2 linked regions of the Oryctolagus cuniculus genome follow. The protein of the gene in region 1 purifies or fractionates together with the protein of each later gene. This does not show direct contact. Links are inferred from orthologs where the notes say so. Each region holds a gene or a part of one and is shown in the gene's direction. Other genes may lie near its edges.

What was found.
Region 2: the proteins of RET (region 1) and STAT3 purify together in Homo sapiens (affinity purification with western blotting; 3 studies listed by BioGRID and IntAct, with this or other methods). This does not show direct contact. The link is inferred for Oryctolagus cuniculus from reciprocal best matches to the Homo sapiens genes RET and STAT3.

What each region holds. Positions count from the first base shown.
Region 1 is NC_091446.1:85,341,293-85,352,520, reverse strand, and holds part of RET (proto-oncogene tyrosine-protein kinase receptor Ret), read left to right. Parts: intron 1-4,807; coding exon 4,808-5,071; intron 5,072-5,412; exon of another isoform or gene 5,413-5,432; intron 5,433-6,282; coding exon 6,283-6,570; intron 6,571-8,179; coding exon 8,180-8,421; intron 8,422-9,349; coding exon 9,350-9,545; intron 9,546-10,881; coding exon 10,882-11,081; intron 11,082-11,228. UniProt on the Homo sapiens protein: Receptor tyrosine-protein kinase involved in numerous cellular mechanisms including cell proliferation, neuronal navigation, cell migration, and cell differentiation in response to glia cell line-derived growth family factors (GDNF, NRTN, ARTN, PSPN and GDF15).
Region 2 is NC_091448.1:20,432,823-20,444,775, forward strand, and holds the start of STAT3 (signal transducer and activator of transcription 3), read left to right. Parts: upstream 1-5,941; 5' UTR 5,942-5,986; intron 5,987-6,607; exon of another isoform or gene 6,608-6,742; intron 6,743-7,669; exon of another isoform or gene 7,670-7,840; intron 7,841-7,989; exon of another isoform or gene 7,990-8,047; intron 8,048-8,338; exon of another isoform or gene 8,339-8,455; intron 8,456-9,474; exon of another isoform or gene 9,475-9,681; intron 9,682-10,022; exon of another isoform or gene 10,023-10,071; 5' UTR 10,072-10,289; intron 10,290-11,953. UniProt on the Homo sapiens protein: Signal transducer and transcription activator that mediates cellular responses to interleukins, KITLG/SCF, LEP and other growth factors. Once activated, recruits coactivators, such as NCOA1 or MED1, to the promoter region of the target gene.

The sequences.
Region 1 (11,228 bases):
GTGTGTCAGACTTGTGTAATCACAGGCAGGTGTGCAACAATGAGAGTGAGTGTAAGTTTGCAACAGTGTGAAAGAACACAGCCAATTCCTTGGTATCCATGGGAGATTGGTTCTAAGACCCCTGCACATAGCCTAGTCCATGGAGACCGGAGATAAATGGCATAGTCATTGCGTGGAACCTACACACATTCTCCCCTGGACTGTGTGTGTGTGTGTGTGTGTGTTAAATGATTGTTTCTTTCTTTCTTTCTTTTTTTTTTTTTTTTTTTTGACAGAGTGGACAGTGAGAGAGAGAGAGAGAAAGGTCTTCCTTTGTTGGTTCACCCCCCAAATGGCTGCTACGGCCGGCGCACTGTGCCAATCCAAAGCCAGGAGCCAGGTGCTTCCTCCTGGTCTCCCATGGCGGGTGCAGGGCCCAAGGACCTGGGCCATCCTCCACTGCACTCCCGGGCCACAGCAGAGAGCTGGCCTGGAAGAGAGGCAACTGGGACAGAATCCGGTGCCCCGACCAGGACTAGAACCTGGGGTGCTGGCGTCGCAGGCAGAGGATTAGGCTAGTGAGCCACGGCGCCGGCCTTGCTTTGTTTTTTAAAGTTTTCTTTAAGATTCAGAACCTGAAACACTGGTTCACTTTCCCTGACAGCCCCAGGACAGAGCCAAAGGTGGGAGCCAAGACCCCAACCCAGGCCTCCAGCTTAAGAGGCAAGAACCCAGGGCAGGCGCTGTGGTTAAGCCTCCGCTTGCGGTGTCGGCATCCCAAAAAGGCACTGATTCGAGACCCGGCTGCCTCACTTCCAATCCAGCTCTCTGCTGTGGCCTGGGAAAGCAGTAGAAGATGGCCCAGGTCCTTGGGCCCCTGCTCCCACATGGGAGACCCAGAAGAAGCTCCTGGCTCCTGGCCTTGGATCAGCTCATTTCCAGCTGTTGTGGCCGTCTGGGGAGTGAACCAGTGGATGGAAGACCTTTCTCTCTGTCTCTTGCTCTCTGTCTTTCTGTAACTCTGCTTCTCAAATAAATTTATAGATCTTGAAAGAGGGAGAGAGAGAAGGGTGGGGAGGCAAGGACCCAGCTACTTGAACCATCACCACTACCTCGCAGGGTCAGCATTAGCAGGAAACGGGAGTCAGGAGCGGGCCCGGCATGGAACAGCTCCACATCCTAGCGTCTCAGCCCCTGGGCCAAATGCCCGCCCCTCCTTCACACCTTAAATCAGGTCTGGAGTACTTACAATCCCTAATAACAGTGTGGACGCCGTGTAACTCCCGGGTAGACGGTATCATTGAGTGGATGCCGACAAGGTCAAAGTCGGCATGCCTTCAGAACATCTGCATTGCTTCCCCTGAGTCTTTTCTATCCGTGGCTGGTTGAATCCAAGGCTGTGGAACCTGGGGCATCGGGGGCTGCCTGTACTTGAACGTGCTTGCTGGAGCAAGACTGGGACTGCACTGTGTGAGAGCAGATGTGTGCGTGCTTGCGCGTGGCTCCTGTGGGCTGCAGGAATGCATCTCTGAACTTGGATATGGGCCGTGCAGGGGCCAAAAAACTGTGTGCTTTGGGCACACACCAGGGGCAGAGTTTGCTGCAGCTCCCCATGCCCTGGGCCCGCAGGCTGCCCCGGAAGCACAAGCAAGCCCGTGTCCAGTCTCACCTCCCCTCCCCTCCCCCCCCCCGCCAGCGTCCTACACCCACGGAGCTCAGCATCATGCTGCTTGCACACAGCGGCACCCACCCGGAGCCCAGCAACAGCCTTGGGAATGTGCACATGTGGACAGTGTGCGTGACGAGGCATGTCTGCGTGTGGGAGGAGGGCTCATGGCTGCTTCCCGTCTGCAGCCAAATAGGATCCTACACATGCCACGTCCCGGCCAAATTGCAAAAGGTGTTTCCTGGCTGAAAACACAGAAGTTAGAAGTAAACCCCCAGCCCCGTGCACCAGATGAGACCCTGAATTCTGAGTGGCCAGGGCCGTGGTGGGGTTACAGAGGAAGCCCTACCCCAAGAAGGAGCCAGGGCTAAGTCTGCGTGGCCGGGGTCTGGTCGTGTGGGAACAGGTGGAGTCAGGTCGGGTAGGTGGGAACAGGCAGGCAGCTCCGTGTCTGTCCCCTGCATGCACACATGTGTACTTGCTCATGAACACACAGGCACGCATGCGTGACATACACAGTCCCTCCCAAAATGAGCGGTGGCAGCGGGGGTCTCCCACAGGTGTGCTGTGAGCAGAGTGGGCCAGCCTGGCCACGGGGTGCTGCAGGGCGGGCTCAGCCCTGACGGGACCTGTGGAGGACGGTGTGGTGTTGTCGTCATGTGGCATTTGGGAGGCGATTGAGGTTTCTGCCGCTGGCCAGAGACAGATCTCTGCCCTCAGGTAGGCTCTGCGAGGGGCAGTCACCCCCATGGGCTCAGCGCCCGCCCTGTGCCTCACCCCCACCGTCACTTTGCTGCCATCCCAGGATATGCCCAGCTGTCTGGCTTGGATCAGTCTTCCAACTCCTGGCCTTAGTGTTCTTGTCTGTGAAATGGGCCCATGAAGGGACCTGTGGCCAGAGGCGTGAGCCCATAGTGAAATTTGTAACAACACACACCTGTAGAGAGGCGTCGGCTTGTCCACACCTGCCCTGGTGGTTCCTCCTCACCTCGGCAGGTCCTCCTGTGGCTCATGGTGGCGGAAACAGACACAGAGAGGGCGAGGTCTCTGCAGAGCCCGCCTCCCTGTCGGCTTTTCTCCGCCTCTGCCGTTCCTTGGTCTGGAATTAGGTGTGCCTCAAGAGGACGGTGGTGACAGAAGTGAAACGCAGGAGATCCCTCTGTGTGCTCCCCCGGGGCTGGCCCTGCACCCGCCTCCTGGGTGCCCCCTCGAACCGTGTGTTCTGCCATTGGGAAGTGCCTGTGGCCAGAGGGACCACCTAGGAGGCATTTTGAGTGCATTTACATCTGTTCCTGTTCCTGATCATCACCCGACACACAGATCCCTTTTGGCAGCAGTGAGGGGCCCCACACGGTCCTCCAGGACCCAGCTCTTCGAGGAGAGCATGGACAGAGCCGTTCTCTGCGGCACATGTGGTCTTTCAGGAGGGGAGGGGGGAGCGCAGCTTGGGCTGCCCCCAGAGGAGGCGGCTGCAAGGTGTGGCTGGGCTGCGCACGGCGCCTCCCCGAGCCTGCACACAACCTCTCTCCTGCAAACCCCCAGCTTCCCCAAAAGCCTTTGCACAAGGCCCCCCCAGCCCCACCCCCGGGACAGCTGCTGCTTATTGGGAAGCCCAGGGCTATGGTGTGTCCCCCCCCCCCAGAGGGTGAGAGCTGCTGCCTGCTGTGTCCGCGTTTCTCACGTGTGCTGTTTGTGTGCGTGCTAGGATTTAGTTGCAGGTTTTACTAGGTGTTAAGCACTCTTAACCTGTTTATCCATCTCTCTTAAAATTCGTAGCTATCTTTCATAAAGGAAAAGTCACTTGGTATAAAATTGATCACCTTAACTGCTTAGGCGTATGGTTCAGGGGCTTTAAATTCACCCGCAGCCCTGTACTGCCATCACCACCATCCCCAAAATGAAACCATGCACTCCGTCAGTCTGCCCCTGGCGGCCAGTGTCCTCCTGTCTCTGGGACGCTCCCGTCAATGCAGTGGCTCCGTGTGTGTCTGATCTCACTCTCCCAAGCATAACCTTCTCAAGGTCCATGGGTTGTAGCCTGTCAACAATTCCTTGGTTTGCTATTATATTGTATGTGTAACCACCTTTTGCTCGTCGCTGCCCCCTAGTGGCTGTTGTGTGTATAACAGCTCCTCTGTGAACACAGGCATACATAGGTCTCTCTTGCCGGTGTAGACCAGCCCTAGGATTATGGGCTCACAGGGTAATTTTGTTTTTTAACTTTTGAGGAAACACAGTACTGTCTTCCACCCCAGCTGTGCCATTCTACACTCCCATCCACAGAGCACATAGGCACCAAAACAATTCCAGCTATTGAAAACATTTTTTATTATAAAAACAGTGTGGGACATACATGGGTCTGCCAGATCCAGCCATAGCGGAGGCTGGCATCCTGCCTTCTTCACCGTACTTAGCTACGCCTCTGCCCATAGCCATCTTGGGGAACAGTGTTTCATTACCCTGGATCAAGCTTGCCAGGGTTACAATGCGGGCATCTCAGCGGGCCCCTGCTGACAAGCAGATGTGTCCCGGGAGCCGCTCCTTCTCCCCTGAATGCGCCAACCCTGTCTGATCCATCAGGATGTGGGGCCTGTGCGTTTTCCCGCCCTTGGCGTGTGTCTCCGAGGCCCCTGTAGGCGGGGGATGTCCACAGCCTCTCCCTGTTGATGGCTGTGTAGGGTCCCAAGGACAGATGCCCCTCCACCAAGTGTGTCCATCCGTCCTGCCATGAAGGGCATTGAGGGTCTTCCAGCTCTCACCCTGCACTCTTATTTAGAAGCTCACCCAGTGGCCGTGCGGTTTCAGCCGGCTGGGGTGGGCAGAGTGGGGTTGCCGGGTTGTATGGGGCGTGCTCACACACAGACAGACGCTGGCGTTCTCGGAACGTGGCTTCTCGGCTGTCGGTGATGGTGGCTTGTCTGGCAAGGTCACGTGCCCTTGTCTGGCGATCCTCGTCAGGAAACTGTCCGTGCCGCCTCTCCCTTCTCTTGTTCTTTTTCTGCCTTGGAGCAGGTGCGTGGGCAGCCAGTGGTCAGCTGCGTTCTCAGGGCTGGAGGTGGGAGTCCTCCTGAGGGCAGAAGCGTCCACTGATGGTGTTGCCTGTTTGCCTGGGAAGCAGCCGCCATCCCCGCGCTGCCTCAGCATCGATCCCTGTTTCTGCAGCCCCCCTGGGCCTCTACTTCTCACGGGATGCCTACTGGGAGAAGCTGTACGTGGACCAGCCGGCCGGCACGCCCCTGCTGTACGTGCACGCGCTGCGGGACGCCCCAGGGGAGGTGGCCAGCTTCCGCCTGGGCCAGCACCTCTACGGAGCCTACCGCACCCGGCTGCACGAAAACGAGTGGATCCGCATTCACGAGGACACCGGCCTTCTGTACCTCAACCGCAGCCTGGACCAGAGCACCTGGGAGAAGCTCAGCCTGCGCAGTAAGGAGCAGCACACAGAGACTCACACACACGCACACACACATTCATACATACACCACACCACACACACGCGCACACACATCACACACCACACACACACCTGGGAGAAGCTCAGCCTTCGCAGTAAGGAGCAGCACACAGAGACTCACACACACACACACACATTCATACATACACCACACACCACACACACGCACACACACACATCACACACCACACACACACCTGGGAGAAGCTCAGCCTGCGCAGTAAGGAGCAGCACACAGAAACTCACACACACACACACATTCATACATACACCACACACTACACACACACACCACACACCACACACACACCTGGGAGAAGCTCAGCCTGCGCAGTAAGGAGCAGCACACAGAGACTCACACACACACACAAATACACACACACATTCATACACACACCACACACACACACACATCACACACCACGCACCACACACACCTGGGAGAAGCTCAGCCTTCGCAGTAAGGCAGCAGCACACAGAGACTCTCACACACACACACACACACCACGCACCATGCACCATGTACCACACACATACACACACCACACACATACATACCACATACCATGCACCAGACACATAAATCACATACATACACACACAATCACACCATGCACCGCACACATGCACACATACCACGTACCAGACACATGCACACACATACATACAACACACACCATGTACCACACACATGCACACATACACCTACCCAGCACCACACATACACACTCACACACATTCCCACACCACACAAACACAGATGCACATACGACACACACCCCCAGCACCATATGCACACACATATGCACACCACACACACCTTCACACACGACACACACCCCCAAGGTGCCAGGTGTGGCCATGCCAAGACTCCCTCAGGGAGGCTGTGGCAGGGGTGGGGGCTGCTACTGATTGCCACCTACTGGGCAGTCGGCCACCTGCAGCAGGTGAGGCACGCTGGACCCAGTGCCCAGGGCACTTCCTTGAGGGAGCATCTGAGCTAAGACCTGAGTGCCAGGGGAGGCGGGCATGTGGGGCCCTGAGGCATGGAAGGGAGGTGGCCGCCAGGGCCAGAGAGCCCACAGAGCCCTGGGACCCACCCCACCGTGAACCCTGCAGCTCCTGCCCCTCTCCACCCCCTCCATGCGCCTCCCCGGCAACTGACTCCTCCTCTCTCCTGCAGATGGCGGCTTCCCCCTGCTCACCATCTTCCTCCAGGTCTTCCTGTCCCCCGTGTCCCTGCGCGAGGCCGAGTGCCAGTGGCCCGGCTGTGCACGCGTCTACTTCTCCTGCATCAACTCCTCCTTCCCCGCCTGCAGCTCGCTCTCGCCCCGCGAGCTCTGCTTCCCGGAGACCGACCTCTCCTTCCGCATCCGGGAGAACAAGCCGCCCGGCACCTTCCACCAGTTCCGGCTGCTGCCCGTGCAGTTCCTGTGCCCCAACGTCAGCGTGACCTACGGGCTCCTGGAAGGTGAGTGCTGCCGTGCAGGAGGATCTGAGCCAGGTGCTGCTCTAGAAGCCAGGAGGGCAGCGTCCTGCCTGCCTGGGGCTCTCAATCCCCCCGGGGATGGAGCCCATACTGGGGCCATGGAGACACAGTGGCTTCGGGAGGCCACGCCGTGGTGGAGAGTGTGTCTTGAGTTGGGTGGTAAGAGCAGAGGTACAGAGCAAAGGTGAATGGGCACCAGATGTGCAGCTGTGGCCCCTGAAGGTTGCCAACGTGGCCCCCTATGGCTGGAGGACAGTGAGCTACTGGAGAGAGCAGAGGGTGATGGGAGAAGAGCCCTTCGGGACATGGGGAGCCATGGAAGGCTGTAGGGGGAGGCTGTTTCAGGTCCTGATTTTTTAGCATCTGTTCAAGATTTATTTATTTGAAAGGCAGAATGACAGAGAGAAGGAGAGAGACAAAGAAATCTATCGGCTGGTTCACTCCTCAAATGACCGCAGCGGCTGCGGTTGGGCCAGGCTGAAGCCAGGAGCCTGGAACGCCATCCAGGTCTCCGCATGGGTGGCAGCAGTCCAAGCACTGACTCATCTTGCGCTGCATCCCCAGGTGCATTGGCAGGGAGCTGGATCAGAAGCGGAGCAGCCGGGACTTGGCCTGGCGCTGTGATATGGGATGCAGGAGCAGCTTAACCCACTGAGCCTGACTTACCTTTGAAAGGATCATCAGACCACTGGCTTCGGTGTGGTTTGGGGTGGGGAGGTTTAGGGCAGCCCAGCAGGTCTGAAGCACGCACTGGGCTGTTTTAATGTCCCAGTCTGAACTCTGGGTGGATTACCCACCCCTCCCACTCCTCAGCCTGCTTTTATTTTCCCTGGGGTGTGTGTCCTTGACCCCAGTGCTTGGCAAAACAGGTGCTTTGTTTTTGTTTTTGTTTTGTTTTTTGTTTTGTTTGTGTGTGTGTGTGTGTGTGTGTGCCAAATGGTATGCAGGTTTTGTTTAGCGAGGTTTTGGCCATTGAAGGGGGTAGAGGGAGAGATGGCAGGGGGAGCATCTCCCGGCTGGTGCCTGGATATGTGGCCTTCCTCATTCCCCTGCGGCCAGCCAGCTGGGGGGTGTCTGGGGCATCATCCTCACCCAGCCAGCCTCCTGTCTTCCTGGGTCATTGCTGGAGGGTGCATTGTGGTTCACAGGGGTCTCCCTCTGCTGGCTGGGGTCTGTGAGTGGCTGCAGAGTGGGCAGCTGAGCCAGGAGCTCTGCAGGTCAGCTGGGGAGGACACAGAAGCTGCCCCCACAGTCCCACGTGTTCCCCTGTGTTGTGGGTTTGTTTCTTGCCTTCCCTAAAATGAGCACGTTACCTCTAGATTTTTTTTTTAAGTTCCTCATTTTTAAAACCTTGCCAGTGTGCAGAGCTAGTCCCCCCCCCGGGGGCGGGGGCTGTAGCTGAAGCAAAGCCACCTGACCCCACACATGCCCACTCCAGACGGAGGACCCCCTCCACTGGCCTCTTGGTCCCCGCCCACACAAAACCGAAAACCCTGGGAGCCCCGGGCTTCTCTAGGGGAGGAGGCCAGCACGCGCCTGCGCCCCCTTCCCGCCTCCCTCGTCCCCCAGCCCCTGTCTGCTTACTGTACAGGTAAGGACGGGCCCTTCCGCTGTGCCCCGGACAGCCTAGAGGTGAGCACGCTCTGGGCCCTGGACCGCGAGCAACGGGAGAAGTACGAGCTGGTGGCCAAGTGCACGGTGCGCGTGGGCGCGCGCGAGGAGGCCGTGATGGTGCCCTTCCCCGTGACCGTCTACGATGAGGACGACTCGCCGCCCACCTTCCCGGGGGGCGTGGACACCGCCGACGCCGTGGTGGAGTTCAAGCGCAAGGAGGTGATTGTCCCCAGTGTGGGAAACTGCTTCCCGCTGTCTGTTTGCCTCAGTCTGTGGCTGATTCCTTGGTCTGTTCGTCCCGTTCGTTCACCCCTCTGTCTGTCTGCCCGGGCACTCCAGGAGGAGTTCTGCTAGCTCTAGTTGGAGAGGCCAGGAGCCCTGGGTGCCTAGCCTGAGTCTAAGCAGACACACGGGGCTCAAGGGCAAGCATCTGCAGCACACCGTGTGGGACGCTCATTCTGTTCCACCACCAGCCAGTGCCGTAGCGGGGTGGGGGGTGGGGGGAAGCACTGAACCCTGGGACGGCAGAGCGGAAGGAAGGGGCATCTCACAGGGCCTGCTGCTCTGCTCCAATCATCCAGCCCCTCCGGTCTCTGGGCCGCGCAGGTGGAGCGCTACCGCCACCTGCTGGCTCTCCGGCCATCCTGCAGCAAAAAAGGCCGTGGGAGCCCATGGGGGGTGGGGGGACAGCAGAGGACATGGTGAATGGAGACAGCTCCCCCACCAGCCTGCTCTGCCAATGACACTTGGAGGGGAGCGCTCTGCTCCACACCTGGGCTTGGACCTGGCTCTGCCATTGCTTGTGACCTTGAACTGCCCTTCACCCTGTGAGGCCCAACTCCCTTGGGGAGAGTGGAGGTGCCCGTCTCCACTGTGGGGACCTGGATGAACCCTGTCTGCTCTGATTGCTCCTGGCGGGGAAGTCTGTAGGTGCGTGTCACACCTGTTGCACAGGTGAGGAACTGGACCGCGCTGACAAGTGGCCCCATGGGGACCAGAGCCCAGGTCAGTCTGTGTCCAGAGCCAGCTCTGACCGAGCGCTCTGGTGTGGCTGTCTGGGGGCTGGGCCCCCTCCCACGGGCACTGTCTTTGGGGCACTGGAAGGTCCCACTCAGCAGTCTTGACTGTGGCCATGTGCATCACCCAGGGCACCGTGGTGGCCACGCTGCGTGTCTTTGATGCGGACGTGGTGCCAGCGTCGGGAGAGCTGGTGAGGCGGTACACGAGCACCCTGCTCCCCGGGGACCCCTGGGCCCAGCAGACCTTCCGCGTGGAGCACGCCCCCAACGAGACCTTGGCTCTGGCCAACGACACCTTCGTGCGAGCGACGGTGCATGACTACAGTAAGTGGGGCTGGTGGGGCAGCACCCCTCCCATGCCTGCTGGCATGCCTCTCTGCAGCCGGGCCCCCCCCCACGACCACCCAAGTCTCCCTGCGCCCCGGCCTTGCCTTTGGCCATCTTGGGGAGGTTTTTGCAGCCTGATCTCTTCCTGAACAGCCCCCAGCAGACCCTGGCAGGGCCTCCGCATGCCTCCCATGCTCACCGGCCGGGCTCATGACCCCATGGCTCTGAGGCCTTCGTTGAGCCCCTGGCTCCTGCTGTGGTGCCTGTGGACTGTTGTCCTGCCCCCAGAAGCTCTGTACCACGGCAGCCCCAAACTCAAAGTCTAGGGGGTTCTGAGACAGGTGTTCTGCTGGGCACCCTGTGCAAGGGTGCTTATGCAGGCTCAGTGAGACATCCCATTAGCTACCTTGTGTTCCTGCCTCCCACCCTCCATTCCTGCCCTGAGTCCTGGGACCATTTCCAAATAGTCACCTGTACTTGGGCTTCATGTGTTGGGGGTGCTGGATGAGGGGCACCGTCGCACCTTACTGCCTGGCCTCCTGCCATGTGCTCCTTGGCCCCCCCAGCCCACTGAGCCTTCCAAGGCCCCCACCCGTCCCAAGGGAGATGACCCCTTGATGAGCACAGCTCGCTCCCCATTGTCCTGTGTCTGCTAAACTCTACCCACAGCTGTGGCTCACAGCAGGTGCACAGAATGCACGGGACCCTGGGGTCCACTGGAGCTGCTGTTCTCTGTGCGACTGTGGGGAGGGCTCTGGCCGGTTCCTCCCAGGGCCTCAGTGGTGACAAAGCTTTTGCTGCCCTGTGCCCACATCCCACACACACAGCCTGTCCACAAACACCCCATAGACACACACAGCCTTTCCACAAACACCCCATAGACACACACAGCCTGTCCACAAACACTCCATAGACACACACACCCTGCCCACAAACACCCCATAGACACACATAGCTTGTCCACAAACACCCATATATACACACAGCCTGTCCACAAACACCCATAGATACACACAGCCTGTCCACAAACACCCATAGATACAGCCTGCCCACAAACACCCCGTAGATACACACAGCCTGTCCATAAACACTCCATAGACACACACACCCTGCCCACAAACACCCCATAGACACACACAGCCTGCCCACAAACACCCATAGACACACATAGCCTGCCTACAAACACCCCATAGACACACATCCCACATGCCCAGCCTTTGCACAAATACCCCACAGATACACACATCGCACTCACATACCCTGCCAGCCTATGCATCTTGGAGGAGGTTGCCAGCCCCCGTGGCTGGGTGCTCACCGCCCCCTCCCACCCCAGGGCTGGTTCTCAACCGGAGCATCCCCATCTCAGAGAGCCGCGCCCTGCAGCTGGCCGTGCTGGTCAACGACTCGGACTTCCAGGGCCCCGGGACAGGGGTGCTCCTCCTGCATTTCAATGTGTCCGTGCTGCCCGTCAGTCTGCACCTGCCTGAAGCCTACGCCTTCTCTGTGAGCAGAAGGGCCCGCCGCTACGCCCAGGTGAGCCTGTGGCCCGCTGCTGGCTTGGAGAAGGGTGGAGGGGGTTGGAGAAGGCCACCCGGGTGGGACAGTCAGCAGGTGACACATAAGGCTGGGAGTGGGTGACATTTTCCCATGATGCCGCAGTTTTGAATAGCCCAGGTGGAG
Region 2 (11,953 bases), on another chromosome or scaffold:
CCCCTTCTCAGACCCATCATGGAAGTTTACGTGAATGGGCACTGTTGGATGAATGAATGGATGAATTTCATGACTTTCTCCAGGCAACTCACCTAACCTGGCTCCAACAAAAAACAGAACACCAAAGCTGAAAAGCAAACACAGAAGGATTTTGGGCAATTGAAAAAGTCCTCAGAAATAGGTCCAGCAGGGGCCGGCATTGTGGTGTGGCAGGTTAAGCTGCTGCCTGGACTATGGGAATCCCCTATGGACACCAGTTCAGATCCCAGCTGTTCCATTTCCAATCCAGCTCCCTATCAAGCACCTAGGAAAGCAGCAAAAGATGGCCCAAGTGCTTGGGCCCCTGCACCCACGTGGGAATCACAAGCCCAACCCCAGCTGTCGCATCCATTTGAGAAAATGAAACAACGGATGAAAGATCTCTCTCTCTGGGGGCTGGTGCTGTGATGTAGCAGGTAAAGCTGCCACCTGCAGTACCAGCATCCCATATGGAAACTGGTTTGAGTCCTGGCTGCTCCACTTCCGATCCAGCTCTCTGCTATGGACTAGGAAAGCAGTACAAGATGGCCCAAGTCCTTGGGCCCCTGCACCCGCGAAGCTCCTGACTCCTGGCTTTGGATCAGTGCAGTTCCAGCCATTGCGGCCATCTAGGGAGTGAACAAGCAGACGGAAGACCTCTCTCTCTCTGCCTCTGCCTCTCTGTAACTCTGCCTTTCAAACAAACAAATGCATCTTAAAAAAAAAAAAAAAAAAACTCTTTCTGTCTCTCCCTCTCTCTCTCTGCAACTATGCCTTTCAAATAAATAAAATAAAACTAAAAAAAAAAAAAAAGGAAGAAAGAAAAGGAAAAGAAATAGTTCCGTGGGCAGCTGGCGTAACATCACTAGAAATTGATTTCTCTTCCTATCTTCTTTCCTCTGTTTAATTAATAGTCAGATTCTGGGGCTGTTGCTGTGGCACAAGAGGTAAAGCTGCTGGCAGCAGTGCTGGCATCCCACATGGGCACTAGTTCGAGACCCGGCTGCTCTACTTCCAATCCAGCACTCTGCTATGGCCTGGAAAGCAGTAGAAGATGGCCCAAGTCCTTGGGCCCCTGCACCCACATGAGAGACCTAGAAGAAGCTCCTGGTTCCTGGTTTCGGATCAGCCCAGCTCCAGCTGTTGAGGCCATTTGGGGTATGAACCAGCAGATGGAAGACCTCTCTCTTTCTGTCTGCCTCTCTCTAACTCTGCCTTTGAAATAAATAAATAAATAAATAAAGGTCAGATTCTTCCACATGGTGGCAAAAGTAACCATTGACAGCTGCCTCCTACAGCCTAAAGCTGAGCAACCCTAGTGGAGGGAATTTCTTTCCAGATCCTTCCAGCCGGAATCTCAGAGGCTACTTCTTTGGCGCTGATAGGTCACATATCCAAATCACTGTGCTTTTGGCCAAATATAGGTCATGTGGTCATTTCTAGAGCAAACTTTAAACGTGGAATTAAAAGTGAAAGTGGAGTTGCCGATATCAATGGAAAGGGGAGGGGAACCGGAGCAGACAGAAACAGCAGAGGTTCTTTCCAAATGACTTGTTTGTGACTCCGTGCTAGGAGCCAGAGACTGAAAAGACAAGATCTCAAAAAACAAAACAAAACAAAAATGGAAAGATCTAGTCCCCGATTTTCAAGGGTTGCAGTTAGTGGGAGAGGCGGATGCTCAGCATCGCTCACGGAGGGGATGAGAGGTGAAACGCAGGGCCGCCGCAGCCCACCCTGGGGAGACAGGAACGCTTGCAGGAGGAAGGGGTGCTCACGGGGCCCTCGCAAACGTGGGAGGGATTTCAACAGATGCTGCTGGAGGGCAGAGGCCGCTGTTCACTAGGTGTTTGTGTTACCAGGGCCTCCAAACGTCTTAAACACCGTAGCATTGGTTAAGGCTGAAAACACAGCCAGGCACCCTTCAAAGACAGCCATACGCAATGGGTGCTGGTGAGTCATTAGGTGATTTCATCGTGCAAACATCAGAGTGCACTTTCACGGACTAAGGCGGCTACAATTCCCCGGTTGTAGCGTCTCATGAGACTGCTGTCCAATATGCAGCCCGGGGTTGAGGACACTGGCTAACTTAGAGGGAAAAAGGAAATTATGTTGGAAGGCTGCCAAGATATCCCACGGACTCCAAGGAATCAGCAAGCACAGGCTGAAAGAGCAGGAATCGGGGTGGGGGCGTCTCCAGGGACTGCTGCGGGCAGATTGATGGATCTAAAGTGCTGAGCTTAATGGAACTCAGCTCTGACAGCTTCCAGGCTCTGCGCCTCTCAGTTTCCTTCCTTCCTTCCTTCCTTCCTTCCTTCCTTCCTTCCTTCCTTCCTTCCATCCATCCATCCATCCATCCATCCATCATTTCTTTCTAGATTTATTTGAAAGGCAGAGTGACAGAGAAAAGGAGAGACAAAGAGAAGAGAGATCTTCCATCTACTGGTTCACTTCCCAGATGGCCACAATGGCTGGGGCTGGGCCAGGCCGAAGCCAGGAGCCAGGAGCTTGGTCTGGGTCTCACACCTGCATGCAGGGGTGCAAGCACAGGCCATCCTCCACTGCTTTCCCAGGCACATTAACAGGGAGCTGGACTGGAAGTGCAGTAGCCAAGACTCAAACCAGTGCCCAGGGGGCCGGTGCTATGGCATAGTGGGTAAAGCTGCCACCTGTAATGCTGGCATCCCATATGGGTGCCAGTTCAAGTCCCAGCTGCTCCACTTCCAATCCAGCACCCTGCTAATACACCTGGGAAAGCAGCAGATGGCCCAAGTGCTTGGGCCCCTGCCAACCATGTAGGAAACCCAGAGAATGCTCCTGGCTTGGGCCTGGCCCAGCCCCACCTGTTGCAGCCATCTGGGGAGTGAAGGAGCAGATGGAAGATCTTTCTTGCTCTGTCTCTCTGTAACTCAGCCTTTCCAAGAAATAAAATAAATATTTTTTAAAAAAAGTGCCTATATGGGAGGTTGGCACTGCAGGTAGCTGCTTAAGCTGCTTCACCAGAGTGCTGGCCTCTGTGCCTGTCAATTTCAAATTCCAAATTCCTGGCACACAGAACCTGCTGGAGCCAGTTAACACCAGTGTTCACCGTGGATCCAAGGCAAGGAGGAGAGGTTCTTCAGTTACAGATGTGGCTGAAGGGAACCAGGGCATTGTTGGGAAGGGAGGGCTTGTGAGCTAGCAGGCAGGATGCAGGACAGATGGGGCATGGGGCTGCAAGTCTGATTAAGGAGCAGCTCACAGAGGAGAGTTAAAGGGGCCTCGATTCCAGATGAAGAAGCAGAAGGTGTCACACTACAGAGAAAGTAACTTACCTCTGTCTGCTGAGGCTTAGCATAAAAGAATTATCAGAAGATAGTCATGGAGGCCAGCGTGTGGCCTAGTAATTAAGAGACATGAGGCCTGCATCCCCCACTGGAGTGCCTGGGCTTAGTCCTTGGATCCAGCTTCTGATTCCAGCTTCCCGCTAATGCAGACCCTGGGAGGCAGCAGTGATGGCTTAAGTCGTTGGATCCCTGCTACCCACATGGCAGACCTGCACTGGGTTCCCACCTCTGACTTTGGCCCTGGCCTGGCCCTGGTCCAGTCCTGGCCACTGTGGGCTTTGGGGAGTGAACCAGCAGAAGGGAGCTCTATCTCCACCTCTAAAACATTTTTTTTTTTTAAAGAAAACAAGAAAGGTGTTGTTGAAGTGCTAGGAATAATGAGTTTGCCAAGGGAGGGAGTTGAGAGAGAAGAAGGTAGAATCTAGGATTAAGGCATCCTAGGGCCCACGATGCCAGCATCCCATATAGGCGCCGGTTCAAGACCCGGGTGCTCTGCTTCCATCTAGCTCCCTGCTAAAGGCTTGGCAAAGCAGCAGAAGCTGACCCAAGCATTTGGACCAATGCACCCGTGTGGGAGACCCAGAAGAAGCTCCTGACTCCTGACTTCGGCCTGGCCCAGCTCCAGCTGTTGAGGCCATCTGGAGAACAAAACAGCAAATGGAAGATCTCTCTCTTTCTCCCTGACCCCGGGTCCCTGCCCCCTAACTCTGCCTTTCAAATAAATAAATCTTAAAAAAAAAAAAAAAAAGGAATTAAAGGCACCCTTTGAGTGAAGTTTGAGACCAGCAAACTAGACTGTGGAGGGAGGGGTCACACAGGAGACAGGCGTCCTGCTGGGCACAGGGCACTCTCATCAGCATTACCTAGGAGAATTCCTGACACATATTGGATGTCCCCTGCCCAGAAAAGTCCCTGCCCCCTCCCTCCAGGCTTTGTCTCCGCTGGGTGACCAATACCCCTGCCCTGTGCATGGCTGCTCTATCAAGGATGATTGTCCAAGGGCTGGCATTTTGGTGCAGCAGGTTAAGCTGCTGCCTGCCATGCTGGTCTCCCATATAGGAGTGAAGGTTCCAGTCCCAGCTGCTCCATTTCTCACTCAGCTCCCTGCTAATGTGCCTGTGAAAGCAGCAGAGGATGGCCCAAGTGGTTGGGCCCCTACCACCCATGTGGGAGACCTGGAAGTTCCTGGCTCCTGGCCCAGCTCTAGCTGTTGCAGGCATTTGGGGAGTGAACCAGCAGATGGACGATCAATCTCTCTTCCCTCAATCCTCTGTTTCTCCCCCTCTGTCTCTGTAACTCTGCCTTTTACATAAACAAATAAATAAAAATCCTTAAAAAAAAAAAAAAAGGTAATGACAACCTATGGTGTAGGTACTTTCCTCTTCCTATGTCATAGATGAGGAAACAGATCCAGAGAGGTTCAGGAAGTAGCCTAGGGTCACACCGCCCAGTGGGCAGAGCGGCTGGGAAGTAGACTGAGTCAGGACCTGGCTCTCATCCACCAGGCTGCGCAGTCACCTTGAGGGTATCTTCCAAGCAAGAACATTTGAATACAAAATTACCAAGTCGGAATTATGCTCTCTAGTTAGATCAGGATGCCAAGGCTCAGAGAGGTTAGGGAACTCTCCCAAGGCTGCACAGCTGATCCTGGACCAGAACCTGGATTCAAACTTGGGGTGTCTCACTTCAGTTCCCGGGAGCTTTCACGTGAATGTGACTGCGTCTGTTGCCTGCGGTGATGGCCAAGGGGAGAGAGTGGCTAGGACGCTGCCCAGTATCAGCTTCTACAGCAAAGCTACGGGAAACGAGAGCATGTCCACTCTGGTCAGGAGGAGGCCCCTGGTGGCCTTCACGACCACTGTCCTCTGGTCAGGGGCTGGCAGAAGCCACCTAGGGCGAGCAAGTAGAGATGTGGGGGCAGTGATGAGAAGTGGAGGGGTAACTGAGGAAATACTAGGGTCAAGACAGAAAAGAGGAAGTGTCTTCAGAGACGGAGGGAGGAGAGAATTGATAAAGCTCAGAGGCAGAAGTGGGACACAGAACACTTCCACTTATTCACTACTTACTGAGCAGCTATTATGTGCTCCGCACAAGAGATCACCAAAGAGCCAAGATCCAGTGCAACTAACAGTGTAAGGAGGGAGATAACAAACTCTGTAAACAGATAAATAAAATGAGAGTTGTGATAAGAGTCCAGGAAACTGGACAGAGAGATAGTGATGAACAAGTTGGGACCAACTCTAGGCAGGAGTGGTTAGAGGAAGACTGAGTAAGATGGGAGTGGTGAGGCGGAAGTAGCTGTGCCAAAGCCAGGTGGAGAGAGGGAGCTGGCACATGCCAAGACCAAGGGCTGGGACGTGGCCTGGCTGGAATTCAGTAGGCAGCAGGGAGGGCCTTGCAGGGATGAGATAAAGGAAAACCCCTTCCCCTAAGCTCCCTGGGAAGCCCCGGAGGAACAGAATGGCATGGTGTGAATGCTGCTTAGGCAGTAGGGAATGACACAGCCTTGCCAACAGTGAAGAGGGAGGGCTGTTGATCAGCTGGGGAGAAAGAGAGAGGCTTGCAAGAGGATGCCTGCGGAGCAAGTCCCTGCTCTTCCCGGTGCTGTCAGTGAGAGGAGCCAGGCAGCCCTGTTGCTGAGCCCCGTGAAGGACCCCTTGCCTGTATGTTGTCACCTTTGGTCACCACCATGCCTCACCACCCACCTATCAGCCCAGAGGCCTTCTCTGCCATGCCACGTTTTTGTGTTTTGTTTATTTGAAAGGCAGAGCAACACAAAGACACACACACATAGAGCGATCTTCCGTCTGCTGGTTCACTCCCCAGATGCCAGCAATAGTCGAGGCTGGGTCAGGCCAAGGTCAGGAACCTGGAACTCCATCTGGGTCTCTCATGTGGGTGGCAGAGACCCAAGTGCTTGAGTGACCACCTGCTGCCTCCTCAGGTGCACAGAAGCCATGGAAGCTTCCATGGGAAGCAGAGGCAGGACTTGATCCCAGATGCTACAATACGGGATGTGGGTGTCGCAAGCCACAGCTTAACCTTCAGTGCCCTAAAGCCCACCCCAACCGCGCCTTTTTTTTAATTTTTAATTTGTTTATTTGGAAGGCAGAAATACAGAGAAGGAGGGGGAGAGAGAGAGAGAGAGAGAGATCTTCCATCACCAGTTCATTCCCCAAGTGTCTACAACAGTCAGGTCTGGGCCAGGCTGAAACTGAGAGCCAGGAGCTTCATCCTGGTCTCTCACATGAGTGCAGGGGCCCAAGCACTTGGGCCATCCTCTGCTGCTTTCCCAGGCACATTAGCAGGGAGCGGGATCAGAAGTGGAGCAGCTGGGACTCAAACCTGTGGATGCCGGCACTGCAGGTGGAGGCTTAACCTTCTATGCCACAGCACTGGCCCTGCAGTGTTTAAAAAAAAAAAAAAAAAAAAAAAAAAGGAAAGAAAGGCAGAGTGATGGGGTAGGAACAGAGACCTTCCATCTGCTGGTTACCCCCCAAATGCCTGAAATAGCCAGGACAGGGCCAGCTGAAGCTGGGAGCCAAGTTATTCAACCCAGGTCTCCCAAAGGCTGGCAGGGATCCAGCTGTTTGAGCCATCACCTGCTGCCTCCCAGGGCCTGCATTCGCAGGTTATTAGAATCAGGAGTGCAGCTGAGCGTGGAAGGCGGGCATTCTGATATGGGAGGCACATGTGTTCACTGTGCGGCCAAAGGCCAGCCCCAGGCCTTTTCTTTCTAAGCCTTAGTTTCCACAGTCATAAAATGAGAATTAGAACGCCTATGTCCTTGATCAAATGACAATCTCTGCGTAAAATGCTCAGTACAGTTCCTAGAACATAGTGATTAATAAAGGTTAATTATTTCATTTATAAGGAAGTGGGCTAGTAAATGGATACATTGCAGTTCAAGGTGGGGAAACACCTGCTGACGGCAGCCGAGAGGCAGACTGCCTGGGAGCACCGGGAAAGCCCAGAGGCGGCGATGCTGGAACCGCGCCTTCAAGAATGAGAGAGTTTTCAGCGAGGGAGCGAGGAAATGGAAGAGACATGGTGGGAGGGAAGAAAACCCACAGGGGCTGAAGTGGCGGGTGGTGCTGGCACGCCCTGGGGAAGGTGATCAGGGCAGGGCGGGAGTTCAGGTGGTGTGGGATGAGCCTGGACAAAGGGCTTCAGGTGAGAATACAGGATTTAGGAGTCGAATCGAGAGGACAAGGGGCATCAGCCCAGCTCCTGCCGCATGCCTGGCACTGAGTTAGGAGGTTGGTGCTTTTTTTTGAAGGAACTTGGATTTTTACCCTATGGATCACGGAGAACAGAAGAGATTTTGAGGCAGATGGCGACAGGGCTGAGTATTTATTCATATAACTTTTAGGATGATGCTCCTGGTAGCCAAGGGGAGATCGGGATGGAGTAAGGAGACAGTAGGGAAGCGGCCAGGCTTCGGCTCAAGAGGGAGAAGCTGCAGCGTTCAGCCGGTGGGGATTGGGGTCAGTCGGAGGCTGCAGAGGGTTTTTGTCCCTTTATCAGGCAGGCTCAGAGGTAGATTTCAGGGGAGAACGGTGGCGAGGGCAGTGAGGGGAGTGAACGCTCCTGAGGGGTCAGGGGTCACAGCTTACCAGGATGGAACAAAGCTGTGGCTCTGACCCACCTGGTGCACCTCCGGGTATCGCTGGGATTGGGCCCTCGTTGTCAGCGATGAAGGTGACCTGTTGTGAGAAAGGAGAGGAGAGTGTGTGAGCACCTTCCAAGCAGTAAATCACTGAGCAAATATCAGACCCTCTGCCACCAGGGAGGCCGTGAACTGCAAGGGGCCACACAGCTGGGATGGACTTTAGGGGAGGTGGCCATGGTGAAGATAAAGAGTGATCCATGACCCGTACATGCACTCTGTTTACAAACAGGCAATCCCACACTTCCGGGATCTACAGGACACCCCGAGACAGCTGTCCCAGCACCCCGACACTGACGGTTGCCTTATGGGTTCCCTCACCTCTCACTTGGATTTAAGGGCGCACCAGAAGTCTGAACCTGGAGTCTTGGGGGAACCATGTGAATTGCTGAGTATTTCTGGGGCTGGAATCCGTATTCTCCACCAAACTCTGAGATCCACTCCCCTTCAAAGGTTAAGAGACACTGATTTTTTTTCTCACCAAAAATTAAGAACAGCTATCCTTGGGGAAGACTGAATGAGGCAGGAGGGGGAGATTTTTCATTTAAAAATTTCTGGGAGGGGGGTCTGCCTCTCTTGGAGCCCCCCTCTTGGCTGCTGCATCCGGAGGTTTCTGACTTCAATAAATCTTGTTTTAAAATAAATATTTTGAGGGGCCAGTCCTGAGGCATTGCCGGTAAACCTGCTGCCTTCAGTGCCGGCATCCCGAATGGGAACTGGTTTGAGTCTCAGCTTCTCCACTTCTGATCCAGCTCCTTGCTAATGCTCCTGGGAAAGCAGTGGAAGCTGGCCCCAGGGCTTGGGTCCTTGTATTCAAGTGAGAGACTTGGAAGAAGCTCATGGTTCCTGATTTCAGATCCATCCAGCTCCAGTGGTTGTGGCCATTTGGGGAGTGAACCAGGGGATGGAAGATCTTGCTCTGCTCTCTCTCTGTAACTTTCAAATAAGTCTCTTAAAATTTTTCTGAATTGTTTGAATTTTTAAACCATGAACATGGATTAGTTTCACTGAGAAAAGTGTTATTAGAAGTTACGTGGGTGGTTGAGATAATGGGCCCTTTTTATATTTTATCTTATCTCGTTGTGTTAAACGATTTTTGTTTTTGCTAAAAAAAAAAAAAAAAAAAAAAGAACCCGGATAGAATGGAGCACACACACAACACTCTATTATGCAAAATTCACCCTATTACGAAAGGCAAAGTGTGTACATTTCCTATGAACGACCGGCTTCAGTTCAGTAATACCTGCATAGACAAGGTGGAAAAAAAATAGGGCAGACAACGGGGAGCATTTCGGCACAGAAATGTCAGCAAGGGGTCATCTTCACCTACAGTCCGCACGTGTGTGTACCGGCCCGCGCACTAGCGGCTGAAGGCACAGAACCCAAGACGGGGTTAAATCCACCGCCGTCTCCCACGCAATCTAGTAATTACTCTATTTCCACGTCATGTTTCCGGGTGTGTGTGTCCCAACTCACGCAGAAGCTGGGGTTCAAAGCAGGCAAGGGTCGCCCATGTTCGTCTTGTCGGCCCCAGAAACCCAGTCCAAGAGGAGGGCGCCTGGCAGATCTGGCGATACCCGGGGACCGTCTAACTGGCTGATTCCCACGTGGTAAGAACCTCTCAGTCTCGCCCCCACGTGGTGCCAAGGGCCGGGAAAAGGGAGAGCGGGCAGGAGGGAGCCGTATCAGGGGCATTTAAAGTGTCTTGACGTCACGCACTGCCAGGAACTCAGCTGAGTTTTCAGCAGGACATTCCGTTCATTTTCCCCCCTCCCTCCGGACTTCTGTGCCCAAGGCCGCGTCTCTTCCGTTGGTGCCGCGGAGGGAGGAGCACTAAAGCTCGGAACAGCCAGCACAGGGGCGTCCCCAGCCTCCCCTTGACTCCGCCCTTTCTCCTGGAGACTTACCTCATTGGTCAATGGGTGGGGCTTCGACGGTACAGCCCTCGCACTGCGGCCTCTGGGTGGTCTAGCAAGCTGGCTGTCTCATGAATTATGTATAAAGGCGTGCCTTGGCGAGACTGGGGCTGGGCGGGGATTGGTTGAAGGGGCTGTAATTCAGCGGTTTCCGGAGCTGCGGCGGTGTAGACGGGAGGGGGAGTCTGGGGTTCCGACGTCGCAGCAGAGGGAAGGAGCCCCAACCGGATCTTTGAAGAGCACCCCCACTCGGCGTTGTCTCTCCGCATCGGCTAGCAGAGGCCCGGCGGCCTGAGGGAGCCCGGCCGCCCGCACCCGGCGCTAGCGCAGCCCCGGCCTGTCGGGCCTGAGCCCGAGAAACAGGTGAAGGGGGTGAAGGGTGGGGCCGCCTCCCCCGACGGCCCCTGAGCTGGGCACCTCGGAGGGCGCCGCGGGGCCGGGAGCGCCTGGGGTGTTAGGGGGAGCCGGGGGTGGGCGCTCAGGGGGCTGGGGGCCGGAGGAGACGCGGAGGGTCACCCTCAGGGGACGGCTCCCTGGGATGACAGGAGCGGGCCTCGGCGGGGACGGGGGAGGGGGGGGACGGGCGTTGGAAGTAAGTTTCGTTCTTCGCAGTAAGGGGCGACGCGGAGGAGAGGGAGAATGAGCTCAAGGGGGCGGCCCGCGGCGCGAGGGCGTGCGAGGCTGGGGATGGCCAAGGTGAGGGAGGCCCCCGACTTCCTGAGCCCCGGGCTCGGGACACTGCGGCCCCGGAGCTGCCGTCCGGCGGGGGTGGAAGGAGCCTCTCCCCGCCCCGCCGGCTCCGGGCTGAGCCACTTCCTCCGCCGGGCCCGGTTCGCCTCCTTCGTGGGCTGGCTGTGCCCCCCTGGAGGTCGGAATAGGTGTCTTCCCCCCACAGCCTCGCGTGCTGGCTGGTTGCGGGTAGGGTTATTGCATAAGACTCAAGTTTCCTGTAGGGAAATGGACAGACTGTATTCTTCCTTAATTCCTTCCCATCTTTTTCTAGGTTAGGCGCTTATCGCTGCCCACCTCCCCTGGAAAAAGAAAAAAAAAAAAAAGGCAAAACAAAAACCCCATCAGGGCCAGCTCATTCCTTCTTGACATTGTTCTCTTAGAAACACCTGGTAAACTCAGCTCGAAGATAAATAATTGAGCCATTGCATTTACTGGATTGTGGTGTTGCTTAATTGCATAGGACAGAATGAACCAATCCAGAGTGGGAGTTTTCTGTCTCAGAGCCAAGATCTTGGGTAAATGCAGAAGAGAGGGAAACAAAGAGGCTGGCCTTGGCACAGCCCTGTATGTGGACTTTACCTGGGTTTGGGGGTGTGGTTGCACTTAAGTTGGCCCAATTCAAGTGTCCCTAGTTGTTTTTTCTGTTTGGTACACATCACTGTGTTATATCAAGTGAGGTGTTTGTTGACACAGTGGTTGGTCGTTTTTTTCTTATTAAAAATGTAGATTGTGTATACCTGTTGGTTGTTATTGTGTGTGCATTTAAATTTCTTTATTCTGTTATGGGTTGTAAACTTTAAAAACGTCTTAAAATTTCATTTTATTTGAAACGCAGAGGGAGAGACGGAGAGAGAGATCTTCCAACTGCTGGTTCACTCCCCACAGGCTCACAACAGTCAAGGCAGGGCCAGGCTGTAGCCTGGAGCACAGAACTCAATCCAAGTCTCCCACAGAGGTGGCAGAGACCCAAGTGCCTGAGTCATGCTGCCTCCCACGGTGTGCATTTGCAGGAAGCTGGATGGTAATGGAGGAGTCAGACACTCTCATATTGGAAACAAGTGTCCCAAGTGGCTTTGTCTTAACCCCTGCACCAAACCTCCAACCCTGGGTTGTAGATTTTTGGCTGTGTTGTAAAGCATTGGTTTGAATAAATCAAAGTAGTAAATTGGGGCTAGCGCTGTGGCATAGCGCTGTGGCATAGCCTCCGCCTACAGTGCTGGCATCCCATATGGGCACCAGTTTGAGTCCCAGCTGCTCCACTTCTGATCCAGCTCCCTGCTGATGAGCCTGGGAAA